Linked DNA regions of Drosophila melanogaster. The protein of the gene in region 1 purifies or fractionates together with the protein of each later gene. This does not show direct contact. Each region holds a gene or a part of one and is shown in the gene's direction. Other genes may lie near its edges. The genes, in order: Syx17, car, Vamp7 and Ykt6.

Region 1 (4,234 bases):
TGGAGCACTTGGTTGCCAGGCTGATAGGCTGCCAGGCTGCCAAACTGCCATCTGGCTGCTCCTCCATATCCGAGTCCGAGTGGCGGGCAAACAAATGACATGGCTGACATGGCTGCAAGTCATCGGCTGGGAGCGTGTCGTGTTTGTCATCGCAGATACGCGAACACGCTAATATCGTAGTCCAGTCCAATCGAATCCAATCCAATCCAATCCGCTGGCACTTCCAGACACATGTGACAATTGCCCAGATCCCACTCCTAAAAACAACCTGTTGGCCGCTCTGTGTCGTTATGACTGTAATTGGGCGAAGTCGTCTGGAAAAGTCAGTTTCACTTTTGCAGATGATGAGCCGCTGATTTGGGTCAGCCACACCGCTCGAATCCATTCCAATCCTATTCGATTCACACCTCGCTCTGGTTTGTTTTCCTTGCTACTCATTGCAGGCGGCACATTTGCATGCAACAGCGAACGGTTACGATGCCCGTGAAGCGAACGGAGGTCTACAGTCGTCCCACCTGGAAGCACGTGGCCACGCCCTGCCAGCCGCCCACCTTTAGTGGCCAGAAGTGCACCAGGGTGCAGGTGGTCCACGAGCAGGCCTACAGGGACGTCATCGATCACAAGACCGCCCAGCAGATGACCTACGACTGCTGCACGGGATGGAGCCGGGAAAACCCAAGGTCGGATTCGTGCATGAAACGTGAGTCTTAAACAAAATACATAGATTGCAATGAATTTGGAATATTTTTATCTTCTAATTATTTACAGCTATTTGCTCCGCGCGCTGCCAAAACGGTGGCAATTGTACGGCTCCTAGCACCTGCAGCTGTCCAACTGGTTTCACAGGACGTTTCTGCGAGCAGGATGTGGACGAGTGCCAGACGGAGAAGCCATGCGATCAACAGTGCATCAATACGCATGGATCTTACTTCTGCCGCTGCCGTCAGGGATTCGTTCTCCAGTCGGATCAGCAGAGCTGCAAGAAGGTGTCCACGAATGCGGACGATGCGTTCGAGGCTCGGGATCTGGAGAACGATATCGATGATACGGACGCGGAGGTGGCCACGCGACTCCAGAAGATCGAAAAGTCCTTGGCCAATGAGCGAGTGCACACGAACGAGCTGCAAAAGTCGCTGCAGGCCACCTACAGTGTGGTGGACACACTCAAGAGTCGGCTAAGCACGCTGGTAAGGATTAGAGTTGAACTTCTATATTTGAATATTCATACTTTAACGATTACTTCGTATGCCCTCAGGAAAAGCAGGCTCAGGATGTCAGTCGACTGCAGACGAATCTCTACAAGACAGAGTCCCGGACGAACAAGCTGGAGGGTATGCTGAACCTGCTGCTGAAGTGCCGGAATGGCCCCAATGCCAATTGCCCCTAAACAGAACTGCATTTCCCCACGCTATTATTAAATGTTAGTTAACTTAATTGACCACTCCGTTCATGTGTAGCTAGATGCTCCTGCTTGTAAGCCATTCCCGAATGCGAGTCGAGTGCCTCTGTAGTCTGTAGAATTAGCCCACGGATCGGGCTATTAGTACTTAAGCGAGAACGTGTGTCATAAATGTATCGAGATGTGAAGTTTTAGACGTAAGCGCACCACCGCACTCTGCACCGCTCTTCATGTGGGTGGTGCAGTGATTAGTTTCTGCATGTATCTGTATATAATTTTAATGTATATGAGAAATCACTGCACGAATAAATGCATTTTCTGATTTTAATGGGTCTTTCATGGGATATTTAACAAAGGAAATCTATTTATCTGGAAGTTATCATGAAAAAAAAGGTAAAGTGCTGCAATATTTACTTTTATATATTGGCTACAACTTAACGCGCAACATAAAATTTGGTTATTTTTCCTTTTAAATGCAATAATGGTGAGTCAACAACTATTTTTATGACCTCGGCTGTAAGCTGACCTTTTAGCGGGGATTCCCACCAGCGGAGACAATCGATAACTGTAAGAATAATATCGAGTGTGGGCAAGGCTGCGCAATATTCGCTAGTATCGAACTGATTGCCATCTCTATCACCAATAACAAACAAATAATTGGACTGCACAATAGAATTATTATCAGTATAAATATAGGGGACAAGACCAGCATGATTGGAACCATGCCACCGTAGTTTCATTCACAACAACAAAGCACTACTCACTGGAAACATCCCGAAAAGCAAGCAGTGACGTCACTGGCAAAACAAAGCAAAAACTGCGCAGAAAAACCAGGGAAATCTGTTAAGCAAGGTCCATCGTTAAAAAGGGGCGGGGGGTGTTACAGAAACTGATCCCCCAGATTTCACTTTTACCACAATTAAAACTGATTAAAAATCAAAGCGCTGCGAGTTCAAAGTATTCAGTTCACGATGACGCGCGATGAGAAACTGCCACTTAAACAGGCGGAGGTCTCCATCCAAAGGTTTCAGGATGTGGCGGTAGGTTATTTACTATATCTTCTGAAGAGCGGAACTAATTCCTTAACACTCATAGGTGCCCCACCATCTGAGCCTACTGAAAAACCATCGCAGCAATATAGAAAAAAGCCTGGCGCTCGGCGACTGGCAAAAAATCAAAAAGGAGGAACTCAATGCTATGAGGGTCATTAAGCAGATCAAGAATCTACTTCTGGAAATGGATGCACTGCGAGAAAAAGTACGGGAGGAGGATCTGGAACGTTTCGACGACCTAATGAAACCTGGCAGGGATACTGCCTTCGCTGGCATGAAGGAATTTGCGGGTAAGTTTGAAATGCCATCTAAATTCTTTCGGCTTTACCAACACACCTACTGTATTTTTAGAGCTCCAACTCAAATCACCCACCTCCACTTTGAGTTCTCAGTACGACGACGATCTGGACAATCAGCCACAGGAGGTGGATATGAACAGTCTACCCGCACACCGCCACATGCCCCAGCTGCAACTCAATTTCCAGCTGGAGGAACACCAATTGGCGCAGAGGCAAGCCTGCCTGGATCAGATGGAGAACCTGCAACAGGAGATCTACGATCTGCACGGGATGTTCCAGGGAATGCGTCAACTGACTGCAGAGCAATCAGTGGCGGTGGAAAAGATAGCAGACAATGCGGAGGAAGCTCTGGAGAATGTCCAGCAGGGCGAATTGAATCTGCGCCGGGCGCTCACCTACAAGAAGGCCATGTACCCCGTAGTCGGAGCTCTTCTGGGCACCTGTGTGGGAGGACCCATTGGTCTGGTGGCGGGCATGAAAGCTGGAGGATTGGCGGCAGTAGGATGTGGCATCCTCGGCTTCACCGGTGGCTCTGTGCTAAAGGCCAATCCCAATGTAATGCATGGCAACATCGAGGAGGAGCAGGTGGAACCGGATAGCGAGTCAACTGAGAGACTGGAGCTAAAAGAGAAGCCAGAATGACCCGCAGGAGGAAGTGCCCGATCCGCATCCACGGCTCTGGCCACCACGCACATATGGTCGGCGAACACACGACGTTTGGAGGCAGCCACCAACGGAGTGATTTGCAGCGTGCGCAGCTATTGTTCCGTTCAGTAGAAATTTGACCACGATTTTAGTTCAATATCCCCATTTTGTGATTTTCCACGTGCAATAGAGCTAATGAGCATAATGTAACTGCACTTTAGTTTAAGCGTTGGATACTTGTTGTTCACATGACACCGCAAATGTGTGTAGATTTTAAGGCTTTAATATGCAATAATAACTCGTAGCTTTAAAAAAGTAATGATACTATTTGATTGCCATGTTGAGAAGTTCAGACTATATCTGGGTTTTTCAGAACTTGTTTGGGCTTTAATATGCAATATATACTCTTAGCTATAACATCTTTGTAGAAAAAGCCTACAAAATCTCCTAAACTAAGCGAGGACTTATAAACTACGATAAGATACCAGATGGGTAACCCAGCCCCGGATTTATAGGGGAACATTAACCGTGGTCCAGGCCTGTTTGAAGTTCTTCTTCTGCGAGTGCTGCTTCTTTCTTAGACGCTTGGCGGTCTTCTTCTTCTTGAACCACGCAGGATAATTGCCGTACTGATCTTTGAGGGTCTTGCTGTTGAAAATGTGCTCCACGCCCGTGTTCTCGTTGGTCACCTTGACTTTCTCGCCCTTCTCCAGACTCTCCTGGTGCTCGTAGATCAATTCCTGCTCCTCCTTGGATTTGGCCTCCTGTTTTAGGAATACAATTTCTTCTTTAATAAGGATATAAAATACGTAACAAGAATGAAGGTAGTATCGCGATAA
Region 2 (6,095 bases), on another chromosome or scaffold:
ATTGTGGCGCAGCTCCTGTTCGGCTTGTACGATTATCAGCTAGGCTCGGTGGAAAAAAAGATTAGTTAGGGAAAAATTTTGCCACGACACGATTGCACATCCTTACATAGAAGTCGTGTGTAAGTTCCTGCAGTGCCTCATTCAATGAGTTCATCACCTGACCCAGGCCGTCGGTAGCCGCGATTATCTTCTGCACGCCCATGAAGTAGGAGGCCAATGGCAAGATTTCCCGCACCTGGTGTGTCAGCGAGCGATCGAGGTGCGTGTGTATGTCAAAGTCCGTGTCGTATTTGGCCAGGCCAACGGCAGAAATAATTGGCTTCTGAGGCACCAGGAGGCTTTCTCTTATGCCCGTGAGGCAGTGCAGCAGCTCGTCGAGCAGCATACTCTCCTGGCTGAGAAGCGGCATTGCCGCGATCTCTGCCCTCGGCACCTTGTCCCCGTCCACCTTGTAGTATTCCCACAGTAAATGGGTGCGGTACTCATCGGGCACATCAGTTAGCGTCACCAGGTCATTCGGCATTGACTTTGGGCTGTTGCCCGTTTTGTTGGTCACCGAGCGGTAGCCGCTCAAGGATTGATCGGAAACGGCATTAAGCACACGTTCCTTGATCTGTGTGGGTTGATCATTGATTATTTGAAGGGGCCAAGTAATTGGCAGCGAACAGCACACCATACTTAGTCTGCACTCACCACACTTAAGTCGTTGCGCTCATCCTTGCCCGCTCCACGGTTACGGTCCATTGGGCCGCGCCTGACAAAGACTACGGGTGTAGTGTCGGATTCAGTGGCCTTTTTGCAATTCACCGGCGTCGAGGTGGGAAAGTCCTGGGACTGGGTCAAGCTAAGCCTGGTGGAACCAGATACGTTTTGCGATGTGGTTAAGATTGTCGAGGTGCTTGCGATTGCCAATGTGGTGGGGACTGAACCGGCTGCGGAATTAACATCCGAAGTCTTGTTTCCGTGCGGCAAGCCCATCGCTGAAAGGCTAGTGGAACTGCTGCTCTCGGAGACTGGTTTGCATTCGCTGTATCGCTCGACGAACACCAGCAGTGCGTACATGGGATCCTTATTCTGCAGAATGTGCGAGATCTCCTTGGTCACCTCTGCGAAGTTGGGACGCTTCTCGCTGATGGACACCAGGACTTTGATCAGATCGCAGGCTGGCAGCCGCCGATCACTAGTGGCCCGAAACTCCCGAATGATGCTCTCCGGAGTTAGGGGCGATCTGTGGGATAAAAAATGACAGTAAACTATGGTGCCAATGGCGGGAAAGAGGCGGTGCAGGAGCAACGGCTAGATCGACTGGCCACCTGTGCACTCAATCCACTTACTGCGACTCGCTGATCAAATTGGCGAGCACACCGCGCAGCGCATGGGGTTTACTCATCACGGAGATGGCAATTTATAGTTCCGCGCTTCTCAATTTACAGTTATAACCGGCAATTGAGCTCTTTTTGAGTGCGCCGCTCTTCTCAATATTTTGTTGTTCTTTTCCGGGTTGCTTGAGTGCCGACTGCAGCGACAGGGTTGTCATCTGTCCTTGTAATGTTCTAGTTTTTTTTTCAATCCTTAGCCGTTTTAAAATCGCAGATGCTCATTTTATTTTACGCGCTTGCAGCAATTTCGGAATCAATTTAAACTGAAATGAGCAGCACAAGCAACTTGATGCAAATTGGCATTTGTTGGTATTTAATTGTGAGGATGTGGTGACACTGGTTGCTGGCGAAAAAGAGGGGTGCGTTTAGCATAGTTTACACTGGACTGGCCACTACTGTAACTTATTTGCGTTAAAGCGTGCAAAGCATTGAAAAAATACAAATTTTGTTAAATGAAAAAAGCTGTACATAAAAAATAAATAAGAAATACTTTCTACCCACAGATTAAATAATTGAAACTACTCCTCTATTATTTTATTCTATCTTAACTTTATATTCTTGTTTAATCAACAAAATTTATATCTGGCAACTGTTTTGATTTTAAATTGCAGGCAAGTGATAGTGTGAATGGCCCATAGAGCAGCGGACAGTGTGACCGTGCCATAAGGGTAAGTGTAAGACCGCACTGCTGAGCGCAGGCGCAGTCCAAATCAGCTGCTTTGCAGCGATTACAGTCGCGTCCCTGATCTTCTGCAGCCGAAATCCGTGGGCGTTGCACCAACACCACCAACGCACTGCACAAACCGCCCACCAAGGACACGGTAGCGACCGACCGGAAGCCGCAGAGCATACGAATCAACACTTCTGGCAAGAGGAAAGGAGCATGTTCCCCCACTTGAAGGGCCATGGTCAGCGGGTCAACCTGCAGTTGCTGCAGGAGGCCGCCTGCCGCGAGCTGCTGCAGCAGCTGGACCGCATTGAGGGTTCCAAGGTTATTGTGCTGGACGAGACCATGATCGGACCGCTGGACTTGGTTACCCGGCCAAAGTTATTCGCTGATCGAGGCATCCGTCTGCTGGCCCTCAAGCCGGAGCTTCATTTGCCGCGCGAGGTGGCCAATGTGGTGTACGTGATGCGCCCACGCGTGGCGCTGATGGAGCAGCTGGCCGCCCACGTGAAGGCAGGCGGAAGAGCGGCCGCTGGACGGCAGTACCACATCCTGTTCGCCCCGAGGCGGTCATGTCTGTGCGTCAGCCAACTGGAGGTCAGCGGCGTGTTGGGCAGCTTCGGAAACATCGAGGAACTGGCCTGGAACTATCTGCCGCTGGATGTCGACCTGGTATCGATGGAGATGCCCAATGCCTTCCGCGATGTGAGTGTGGACGGTGACACTAGCTCGCTGTATCAGGCGGCAGTGGGCCTAGTGCAGCTGCAGCGTCTATACGGTCGCATTCCGAAGATCTACGGAAAAGGAGAGTTTGCGCACAGGGTATGGGAGCACGCCAAGCAGCTGGGCCGGGATGAGCGGACTCTGTACAACGGCGACAAGGGTGTCGTCGATCAGTTGATCCTTCTGGACAGAAGCATCGATCTGCTCAGCCCGCTGGCCACACAACTCACCTACGAGGGGCTTATCGATGAGTTCTACGGCATCCGGCAGAACAAACTGACGCTGCCCGCCGAGAACTTTCCCTCTGACGGAGCCCTTCCCGGAGGCGGAGGCAGTGGCCCACGAGTCGAGGAATCGCAGTCGCTGCTGGGTGACACCGAGAAAAAGACCATCCTACTGCACTCCGGCGAGCAGTTGTACGCGGAGCTGCGGAACAAGCACTTCAACGAGGTCACCAAGCTGCTCGCTCGCAAGGCACGGGAAATTCACGTCCAGATGCACGCCACCTCCCAGGACAAGAGCGTGCAGGAGATCAAGAGCTTCGTCGAGAACCTCCTGCCGCAGCTAATGGCCCAGAAGAAGGCCACCTCTGAGCATACGGCCATCGCTGGCCTCCTGCACGAACAGGTGAACGCGGTGCGCTTCGCTGACGACCTGGCTGCCGAGCAGGAGTTCATGGTCTGCGCAGATATCGACAAGCCAAGCGCCTACATCGAGGACCTGATTGCCTGCAGGGTGGAGTTGAATCGCGTCCTGCGGCTCATCTGCATGCAGTGCCACGCCGCCTCCGGATTCAAGGAGAAGCTGCTTAACCACTACAAGCGCGAACTGGTCCATGTGTACGGTCTGGAAGTGCTGCTCACCATCAGCAACCTGGAGAAATCGGGCCTGCTCCATCTGCAAACAGAGTCGCGGGCTTACAGCGTTCTGCGAAAGGTGAGCGCCAATTCAGTAATCCAACCATATTTAGTTATAAGTTATATAGTTATTTGTGAGTGAATATATGAGGGAATGCTATTTAGGATGTTGCTACATCAAAACATCATTTTCTCTTGCAGACGCTGCACCTCACGGTGGACGACAACGTTGAAATTGAGCCAAAGGACATCAGCTACGTGCACAGCTTCTACGCTCCGCTGACCGCGCGCATTGTGGAGCATTCGCTCAAACCGCTGGGTTGGCAGACGCTTAAGAGCCAAATCAATAACCTGCCCGGACCGACGTTCGAGGACTTTCAGGCGCAGTTGGTGGGCATCGGTGGACGGCATACGGTCACCACAGTCAGCGAGGGATCCCTACTGAATGTGCCGCGAGTGGTGCTCGTCTGCTTTGTGGGCGGATGCACGTTCGCTGAAATAGCTGCGCTGCGTTTCCTCGCCGCCCAGGAGGACAACAACGTGGAGTTCCTGATTGCCACCACGAAGGTGGTCAACAAACACTCCTTCCTGGACAGCCTGATGAGCTCGTGAGGCCGGCGGCTAAGCCGACTGGAAGCCTATCGCCTGTCCAACGCCCACGGCCTGGCACGTGGATGAAACGCGTCCGTTCCGCTGAAGCCGAGATCAAAGAGAAAGGGCAAGCGGCGCAGCGCGGCAATCGGGACTGCAGATGAGAATCCAGGATGCTAGGGGCGTTGTGAATGACACGATTACTAAGGACTCGCCGGCAAGCGGAAACCATAAAATATTTATTTTTCGAACGCGGCATTTATTATTTATTCTTGTAACCTAAAGAGCATGTATGTATATAGATAGATTCAAGCATAATATGTATATTTATGTATACCGAAGTATGTAGTCTTAAGCAAAAAAAAAAAACAAAAAAATTGCAAATCCCATTTATTCAAGCTTGGCAATTGTAGTTTTAAGTGCAAATAATTCCAACTTTCAATCATACATACGTGTGCAAGACAAATATTTTCAAAATAAAAAGTTTAGTCAATGTTATGCCGCCACATACATATATATATTCCCCAGCGCCATATACAGATTACAAACCGCATATTTAACCGCATATCGATGTTTTATGAGCCCGTAAATTGCCCGTATTGCTTGTAAATGGTTATGAATTTCTAAATGATGTGAATTTGATGTAACTTTGTGTATGTTCGTTCAACAGCAGCAAGTGCATTGAATGTTCCTCAAGGCTTATCCTTAAGCATGTATATCATATCCGGAAAGTATTGGATCCAATGGATGGCGGAAATCCAAATATGTTGAAATGTAATTAGTGATAGAGCGCATATGGGTATGTAGCTGTGGCAATCAATCAACAGCTGCAAAAGATATTTAAGATCTTTATCTTTATCTCTGCTGATAAGCCAAAGTCAACAAAATGTTCTATGTATGTATGTTCTCGCATTTCGAGTGGAACGAACTGTGTACGACTTTCGTTTTATGTGATCAATAATATTCTCATCCTTATGTGCAAGACCTAAATGTATCTCAAAGTGAACATTTCAATGGTGTTTAAATTAATCCGAGTTCCGAGGTTATTCGACTCGATGTAAATGTAATTAAATGAAATTTCAAATAAACGGAAAGCATTCCAAACAAAAGTGTTCATTATCTTTCTTTCTCTCTACTCCGTAGATACTCAAAACGTAGAGCGTCGAGTGTTAGATACTCGACTAAAACATACCCGTTAATTTGCCGAATGATGATCTGCCTGTTGGGTAATCCCTAACGAATCTAGCATACCCTTTAACTCGAGCAACCATATATGCATTGCCATCCTTTAGCAGTTTGTCGTCCCAATCCCAACTTCTTCGCTTGAACAGCACTTTCCGAAATCGATGTATAATGGCTAGACATCCCGACCGCAATCCGCTGTCCATGTCCCAAGTAAACTAAACACGGAACTGCGGCCATGTGTATTTTGAAATATGTTTTATTTTATTGACATTGACGTGTGCATCAATTTAATTGTTATTCGTTTTCCATCTTCAGTTACCGTAATTGCAAAAATACAATTTATATTCGTATAATAATTATTACAATAATACAAAAAAAAAATATATATATGAACAATTTTATAAACATAAAAATATTACATATACTGTGCTTCCCCGTGCTTCTTTCTAGCTATCTTCTATCTCTCTCATTTCCCGTTTTCGTGTCCACGTCCACTTCCACCTCCATCCATTTCGCTACCATATGGAGCTAGCCAAGGTGGCTTAGTGACCATGGTGGATACGATACTGGTGCACCCAGCGGAAATACCGAAAATGAGCCTCCTCTCTCTTTTTGATTTGCTTCACTGCAATCGCGGGAGTTGCATTAAATTTAGTTTGGTTTAGTTTAGTTTTTAATTAATGACTACGGAAA
Region 3 (4,037 bases), on another chromosome or scaffold:
CGTGAAAGTAGTTGGAGGCCATTCCGGCCGCATAGTCTAGTCCATGGGAGTCACGTATCCAGTGCGAGTAGCTCAGGGTGCTTTGGTCCATATCGGTAAAGCTCCATATCCAGTAGAGCGGCATTTGGAACAGAAACAGCGTCGTGGGCATTACGTTCCTGTAATTCCCGGTAACCGAAATTCGAAAAAAAGCTACGAGAAGGAATCCCACAATCAGGTATATCGATCTGTTGTTATACGTGCACGAGCGCCGCAGGATTATCCACAGCCGATCCTCGGGCAAATAGTACCGCCCATTGCTCCCATATTCGACGACACAGCGGTACAAGCGAAGGAGCAGATCAGCCAAGAACACGGTGGCTACAATGCGAATAGAGGTGTCTGCAACGAATCACGACCGTAAAGATAATTTATGGCGTCCATCGGTCATCACTCACCAATATAATCTCCTATCATCTTTCGAAAATAAAAATATTTTCTGCCTTTTTCCGCGCGAACCGCGTTCCCCGCTTCGACAACGTTGCTAGCGATTGCCATTTCGTCTGCATACATATGTACGTCTCAAGGGTTGCCAGATCGATTTGGAGATCTCGCGAAAACTTCGCTGGAATTTCAAATGCCGTTAAATTATATATAAATTTGTTTATTGGGCTTGCATAGGTATACATAACTGAATTTGGGCTCCTAAATATTAATTACATTGCGTGCACATACAAATGCACATATTTATGTATGACGGAAGCAATGAAGGAACTACATTGTTATATCTTTTTATTATTATTTACTTTTGTGTTTGTTTATCAGGTATCAGATAAGATTTTATCAATATAGCCTCAAAGATTCGTTAATCAATTTGTATTCGAAATAAAACTTTAGGTAACAATGTCCGGTTCCGACTATCAGATACATATACAGACATGAAATCTGCTGACTGTAAAGCTCTCCGCCCTCTGGAACAAATATTCGTGAGAGCCGGAGCCAGCTCTAGACTCCTCCCAAAAACGCATATTGTTATTCTAGTGTCTTTGGTAAGAGGGTATACTAGATTCGTTGAAAAGTAAGTAACAGGTAGAAGGAAGCGTTCCCGGCCATGTAAAGTATATATATTCTTAATCAAGATCAAAATAATAAAAAATAACAAAGATAATTAAACATTAACAATGGTTAACCAATTGGTGGTTAATTAACCATCAACAATGGTTAACCATTACGCTCTTACTCTGCAACTTAAATACTGATAGCTACACCCTAAACGAATTATAAGATTTGATAAATGATCTTATTTAAGCATGCTTATTGTGTTCTAATATTAAATTCTATAGAAACCTTATCCTGTAAAAGGCTCAAAAAAGTGCAATCGTGCCATATTTGTGGCCAGAATAAATGAGAATTCTAAGTCTTTTAAAATAAGTAATTTTAAATCGAATATTTCGGCAGCATATGCGCATATTGAAACTACGTATATTGTATCTTGCGTGTGTACATAGTTTAAGTTATTACCTGCGGTTTTTTCTGTCAAAACGAATGGATCCAGGCTCAAAGATCTCAGGAGCAAAAGCTTGGGAACGCTATTAATTTAAATTTACTTTAATGGAAAATTCTTTGTCCGGGGAGAAGAATCTCAACTGGATGAACTGATGCTCTCGTCAATACTGAAACGCTATCGGTGGGATGCCCCTATTTAAGTTGCGGAGATCATTTAATTTAATAAGCAAATGCAAATAATCATAAGACCGTATAACATAATTTGTAAAACACGTTATGCAGTGTGACCGTGCGATAAAGCCAGACTTATCGGCTCCATTAAATATCGATGCGTCGATGTACCGTCCTTCCACCTCTAATTTTATAACTGCATCGAAGCGTCAGCAATTGTTGTTATTTGTAATGCAAAAATCGAGCTAATTCCACGGTATTGTGATGTTTTTATTGTGTTCGGCAAAAGCAATTGAAAATCGATAATAACTTAAGCCGCTTACCACAAAATGTAAATCTGCAGTTGCGCTATCAACTCGAGGCGGATCTAATTGGATAAACAAAGCAAGTACTTTGATATAACAATTTGCATATTACACATATATACGTATGTTACTCATAAACAGAGTTATTGTTCAGATTGATAGGCTCGCAATTGGATAGTAGTAGTTTCTAAATCGATATGTACATTTCTCAGAATCCGAGAGCACGTCATCATTGACGGATCGTCGGCTCATTCCCCGATAAGCAAAACAAAGCAGTAGCCTGAGGAGCTGAACAACCGCGCCCTTAGCAAAGGAGAATCTGTGGCACCATGCCGATACTATATAGTGTGATATCGCGGGGCACCACAGTGCTGGCGAAGTTTGCGGAGTGCGTCGGCAACTTTGCCGAAGTGACGGAGCACATAATCGGACGGATCGGGGTGCATAACCACAAGATGACCTACACACACGGAGACTACCTGATCCACTACACCTGCGAGAACAAACTGGTCTACATGTGCATCACCGACAACGTGGGTGAACGAACCACTGGCCCAATTAGCCACCTCAGTTGCTTATTGCCCAATCGATAACGTATCGTTTCTTTGTAGGAGTTCGAACGGTCGCGGGCCTTCCTCTTCTTGGCGGATATCAAGCAGAAGTTTATCCAGACTTACGGCCTACAGGTGGCCACCGCCATCGCCTACTCCATGAACACCGAGTTCTCCAAGATCCTGGCCCAGCAGATGGTCTATTTCAGTCAGTCCCGGGAGGTGGACACCATTTCGCGAGTACATGGTCAGATTGACGAGCTTAAAGACATTATGGTTAAGAATATTGGTATGAAGGAAGGAAAATCCGTATGTTCTTTTTGTTTACTATTCCCTTTTCATCCCATTTGCAGACAGCTTGCGGGATCGCGGCGAGAAACTAGAGCTGCTCGTCAACAAGACCGAAAACTTGAGCAATAATGTAAGGTGATGCCAAGCAGAGACTTTTAAATGTGTTTTTCATTTGATCTCTCTTACAGTCCGTTGCATTCCGTAAGGCCTCCCGAAATTTGGCTCGTCAAATGTTTTGGAAGAACATCCGCGTCTACGTGGTGGTGGGTCTGGTGATAACCTTCATCGTTTACGTGATTGTGAGCATGGCCTGTGGTGGCCTCGCTTGGCAGTCCTGTGTTTAGGACAAGCTTTAAAGTTGTTTATATTGTTATAGGCTCATAACACATGTATATTTGCATATAAAACTCTACAGTACTCTCATCTATGTTCTATGTAATAAACTTCAATGTATACCGGATAAAGTGTTAGAAGAGATAATGGAATATTCACTTGTCCTCCACATACACGACGTCGTTGGCCTTCACCTTTCCCGGCAGCCGAAGTCCCATATGAACGCCCAGAGCCGGCGAACTGTAGTTGAACAAGCGATAGCTGTGGATTCCAGATATGAGGGTCGGGTTTTGTAAGTCGTACTTCTCAGATATTTCCATGGGTAGTGACTCACCTTCTGAGCGTTTTGAGAGGCTCTCCTTCGGAACTCCTCTCTGCGGTCTTCGCATTAATGTTGGTAAAAATACAGCGAGTGCATGGCGCCACCGTACGGAAAACAGCATCTTCGCCTATACGCACCCACTGCCAATTGTCCTCGGCATAGGGCTCATCAACATCCATTTTCAGTTCGAAGTTACCTCGGAACTGCAGTGCATCCACCGGATTCTTTAACCGAGTATTAAGATCGGCGACCGACGAAAGGTTCATCAGCATAAAGCTGGTGGCATCGTTAAAAGTGCCCTATGGAAAGAATTCAAATCAAGGGTGATCTGGGTCCTAACACTTCGAATTGCGCATCAGGAACATACCGAGTCCTCCTGTCTAATGAATGGCATGGACTTTAGGCGGGGATTGGTGCATCTCACTGGTTTCGGATAGGGATAGTGAACTAGCTTGAGGCCGCTCTCCTTCTTCAGGATGGCCTGGGAGAACCACGTGTTGATCCGATCTCCGCAGGGCATCACGTCTATGGAAACGCCCCAAACGGAAGTTTTCACATCCTTGCCAGGACCGTCCAGCT
Region 4 (4,113 bases), on another chromosome or scaffold:
TGTATTGCAGTTGTACACTTTTATGTGAAAATGCGAAATAAAGATCGCTATTTATGTAGATGGTTCACCAGTATTTTGATGGGACCACCCCACATACACTTAGAAAACGACCATATTTGCGACAAGCTTTTCCAGGGGAATGGCTTGCATGTCGACGACCACAATGACGAGATGATTGCGCACTCCCACCGGCTTTTTGATCATCAATCTTACCTCGAAGTATTTCAGCAGAAAGCGCCACTTTAGCTCGCTTTTCTCGCGCTCCGCCAGTCGCTCGAAGTCTTCAGCCCGAAGTCCCAGGATACGTTCTGCCGGATGTCCAGCTAACCGGGCTTCGACGAGAGTGCCGGTCTGGTCGGACAAATGAATGTTGATATTGAAGTAGCTAATGGATCGTGGTTCATCATTGTCCAATGAAAAATACTGCTGGCAGGCGTCCGAGGCGCAATCTTGCAGGTTCCGTGGTATATGTTGTTGACAGGCAATGCTGTAAAATAAAAGGGCTTTTAAGAATATGTCTTGTAAACTATGTAACGGATAGTGGGAAGCGTTTCGGCGGTTAGGAAGGGATGGGGATGTACAACACCCACCACTTCCTGTTGACGTGGGAGGTCAATCCATCCAAGTCGAACTTGGTGACCATCCCATACAGCACTGCAGTAAACTGATGTATGGACGGATCCTGCAGTTCGCCCTCGGCGCGTGAATATATCTGTCTTACCGTCATCTGCGCCTGAATGCTGGCAACTGAAAGAGTTATAGTAAATAATAATACTGCATTAATTATCCTTTACTCACCTGCAGGCATGTTGTCCAGCTCTGCCTGGTCACAGCCACTAAAAGTTGTTAGAGGCACAGTGGCGGCGAAAGCTAGCAAGAGACGGCAATCATCTCCAGCCGCCTGAGGATTTTCGCAAATAAGTGTGCAATTGGAATGGGAGAGGACGAGAGAACGATGAAAGTTCGAGTAGGAAACACGCACGTCGATCAAATGAAGGACAGTGCGACGTGGCTGCCATTGCTGGGCACGTTGTATCCAGTCGGGTTGCCAAACGGAGAGCAGCATACCTTCCGGATAGCTGGCATCGATCACGATTACTTCCAAGCACTGTAGCAGCTCCTGGACCTCACTTAGTGGCCCCTGCAGCTTTCGCTTTATCTGACGCACTGGACGCACTGCAGCCACTACTACCAGTAGATTCACATTGGTGGTGATTATCTTATCGGGAAATCCCAAGCCGGAACGCACATCCGCCAGCTTAAGGACCGCACCAAGTGGCCTTATGGGCTGATGGAGTAACTGCTGGAGAATTGTTATTTGGCCAAAGTCGTCATTGTCGTGGCGCACCACATAGCCGGATCCCTCGTTGACCACCAGGGCGCAGGAGACCGTCGCTTGGGGCTGATAACGCTGTTCTCCCGGAGCAGCAAACGGTATGGACATCACTTTAGCGCCCACAATGTCTACCACATGGCCGATCTGCAGCATGGCCGCGTACTCATCCACACAGTCCCGCTGGCCCCAGCACTTGCAATTGGTCAGGTGATTGGGGGAATCTCGGATGGTCAAGCTGAGAACCCCTCGTTCGGTGCCACTCATCTTGTCATAGAAGATGTTCGGCGAGGATTTGGAGACAATCAGGGCAACGGTGGAGAAACGGGTCATTGTGGGACGCATCTCTGCCAACCGCTGGAACTTAATACGCCTTGCCATTGAAATTATTTAAGAAATCGCGACCAGTCAGATTGCAGTGCTTAAGAAAACCGTTACATTGCCGTTACCGCCGATTAGTAGTTATCGATGTTTGTAGTGATGGTACACCACAAATGGCCGTAGATTCAGTTAGTAACAGAAAGTATTGCTAACAACTTAGTTTGATAAAAACCACAATTAAAACATTTACAGAAAGTTGCGCTTATTAATTGTAACCATTGGAATCGATAATAATCGGATGGCATCCGAATACCAGACGTACCATCCCTAATAAGCTGACACACACTACGCATATGTGCACCCGCGCACACACACACGCACACACAGAGGGGAACGGCACAGATTTACTGCGTTAAACAAACTCACTTGTCGCACTTTTCCACGAATGCCAGTGCGCTGAAAGTGAAACCCATCCGCCGGAGCATAGTAGGATTAGCCAGGACAACCGTTCAGCTCAGTGCCCCAGAAGCATTTAATTGGAGGAGCAACAGTCGAGCAACCCGCGACCCGCAGACCCAGTCTTGGCAGCCCACAGCCACTCAAAATGGTCAAACTATTCGCGTTGAGCATCTTTCACAAGGGCGCCAGCGAGGCGCGTCTCCTGAAGACCGCCTCGGACCTGCAGTCCTTCTCCTTTTTCCAACGTGGCACCGTCAACGAGTTCATGACGTGAGTATGCATGTGGATGCCAAAGAACGGCGCAGGCTCAAAGAGTCATCAATGACGAACACCCCCCTAAACAACTCCTCCTCTTGCAGTTTCGCTTCGAAGACGATTGTGGAGCGCACACAGCCGGCCCTGCGGCAATCGGTGAAACAGGATGCCTACATGTGTCATGTCTATGTGCGGGCGGACAATCTGGCCGGTGTACTGATCGCCGATCATGAGTATCCGCATCGCGTGGCGCACACGCTTATCACAAAGATTCTGGATGACTTTACGGCCAAGGTGTCGGCCGATCAGTGGCCCAATGGCACGGAGGCCACTATCTCATTTGACTTGCTGCCAGCGTTTCTAGCACGCTATCAAAATCCCGTCGAAGCAGATCCGCTGACGAAAATGCAAAACGACCTGGACGAAACGAAGATCATACTGAAGAATACCATCGAGGCGGTGCTGGAGCGGGGCGAGAAGCTGGACGACATGGTCAGCAAGTCGGAGAAATTGTCGCTGCAGAGCAAGGCGTTCTACAAGACGGCGAAAAAGACTAACTCCTGCTGCAGCTTCACCTAGACGACAGCTGCACCTCTCATCACCCCCCACCACACGCTAATCCTCTCAAGCAACAACCACAACAGGAAACACCAGAAAATGCAAATCAAAGACAACACAAAGGATAATGGATAACACGATAACACCAACAAACTACAACCAAACAAACTCCAAGGGAGCGGTGCGACTTGGGCTTTGATGATTGCTTTTTATAAATGAATTAGTTAATTTTATATACTATATATATATATTATATTATATACTGTATGAATAGGATGGCCAGTTGCCAGTTACGATAGTCCGCTAACCCAATGTCTACCTGTCTGTATATGTCTACGCTTTGGATATCTAAATGTTAATTACTACCAATACAGATTACGATCTAAACCCATGTGCTTAACATAATCTTCTCTTCACTTATGTGTTGGCACGGCGGTCCAAAATTGGCCCTTTGCTAGCTATTGATGTTGTGGGCCTTCTTATCGCCTCCACGGCGGATCTATGTATACCAATCGGATCGGAAGGCTGCACCTATGTATACACATGCAGTCGCACTTCCGATCCGGGCAACTGGCGGTCGGAATGTGTGGGCGTTTCAATAAAGAAGTATTATGGGAAATGTGAACCAAGCTCGTTTTCATTGCTCACATATACAAACCTTATCTTTGTCAATTTTGGCAAAATGTACAAACTATTTGTACGAGCTCTGTACATAGCACATGAACTTATTTTTATTTATGTAATACGTACCACTTTATCTTAAGTGCAAATTCCATTCCTCCCAAAAAAGCAAAATCAATTTAAAAGTGATTTTCTGTTGGCGTTTATTTATTATATAGAAGACACCTATTTCGCTTCTTGTAAAGATTTCCGTTACATTTTTCATATTTATGCGTTTTCCTTACGTTTTCGTGTTTAACCTTTTGGATTTTGGTTATGTTTAATGGGTTCGGTTTGTATAGCCTAGTATAAGATAGGTAAATCGATTACAATTTAGTTTTCGCCCCCTCTCCATCGCAATTTTCTTGTGTGTTTGCGCGGGGAGAAAGGGGAGGCGGTGCATTATAAATATATGCATTATACTGCATACCTATATCGTTTCGTTATAATTAATATAATATTGTGTGTGCTAACTTAGCTTAAGCTGCAAACATTGATTCAAACGCGTTTGCTTGGCTTCTCGTTTT

What was found.
Region 2: the proteins of Syx17 (region 1) and car purify together in Drosophila melanogaster (affinity purification with western blotting, with the first as the bait; one study listed by BioGRID). This does not show direct contact.
Region 3: the proteins of Syx17 (region 1) and Vamp7 purify together in Drosophila melanogaster (affinity purification with western blotting; 4 studies listed by BioGRID, with this or other methods). This does not show direct contact.
Region 4: the proteins of Syx17 (region 1) and Ykt6 purify together in Drosophila melanogaster (affinity purification with western blotting; one study listed by BioGRID). This does not show direct contact.

Annotation. Positions count from the first base shown.
Region 1 is NT_037436.4:4,401,457-4,405,690, forward strand, and holds Syx17 (syntaxin 17), read left to right. Parts: upstream 1-2,030; 5' UTR 2,031-2,370; coding exon 2,371-2,439; intron 2,440-2,494; coding exon 2,495-2,741; intron 2,742-2,802; coding exon 2,803-3,392; coding exon of another isoform or gene 3,393-3,527; 3' UTR 3,528-3,712; downstream 3,713-4,234. Other genes in the region: slow (slowdown), read left to right, coding at 444-700, 769-1,187, 1,256-1,387; CG15019 (uncharacterized protein), read right to left, coding at 3,905-4,159.
Region 2 is NC_004354.4:19,564,080-19,570,174, forward strand, and holds car (carnation), read left to right. Parts: upstream 1-1,939; 5' UTR 1,940-2,047; intron 2,048-2,103; exon of another isoform or gene 2,104-2,135; 5' UTR 2,136-2,262; coding exon 2,263-3,705; intron 3,706-3,827; coding exon 3,828-4,238; coding exon of another isoform or gene 4,239-4,304; 3' UTR 4,305-5,322; downstream 5,323-6,095. Other genes in the region: Grip84 (Gamma-tubulin ring protein 84), read right to left, coding at 1-39, 107-613, 694-1,228, 1,335-1,390. UniProt on the Drosophila melanogaster protein: Core component of the class C core vacuole/endosome tethering (CORVET) and the homotypic fusion and vacuole protein sorting (HOPS) tethering complexes involved in endo-lysosomal vesicle trafficking and lysosome biogenesis.
Region 3 is NT_033778.4:9,840,304-9,844,340, reverse strand, and holds Vamp7 (Vesicle-associated membrane protein 7), read left to right. Parts: upstream 1-1,838; 5' UTR 1,839-2,040; intron 2,041-2,115; exon of another isoform or gene 2,116-2,173; 5' UTR 2,174-2,290; coding exon 2,291-2,494; intron 2,495-2,572; coding exon 2,573-2,801; intron 2,802-2,865; coding exon 2,866-2,933; intron 2,934-2,991; coding exon 2,992-3,147; 3' UTR 3,148-3,261; downstream 3,262-4,037. Other genes in the region: sting, read right to left, coding at 1-381, 438-537; Marc (mitochondrial amidoxime reducing component), read right to left, coding at 3,292-3,397, 3,471-3,757, 3,826-4,037.
Region 4 is NC_004354.4:7,918,418-7,922,530, forward strand, and holds Ykt6 (YKT6 v-SNARE), read left to right. Parts: upstream 1-1,991; 5' UTR 1,992-2,258; coding exon 2,259-2,383; intron 2,384-2,472; coding exon 2,473-2,947; 3' UTR 2,948-3,549; downstream 3,550-4,113. Other genes in the region: hdm (hold'em), read right to left, coding at 100-487, 591-747, 799-1,714.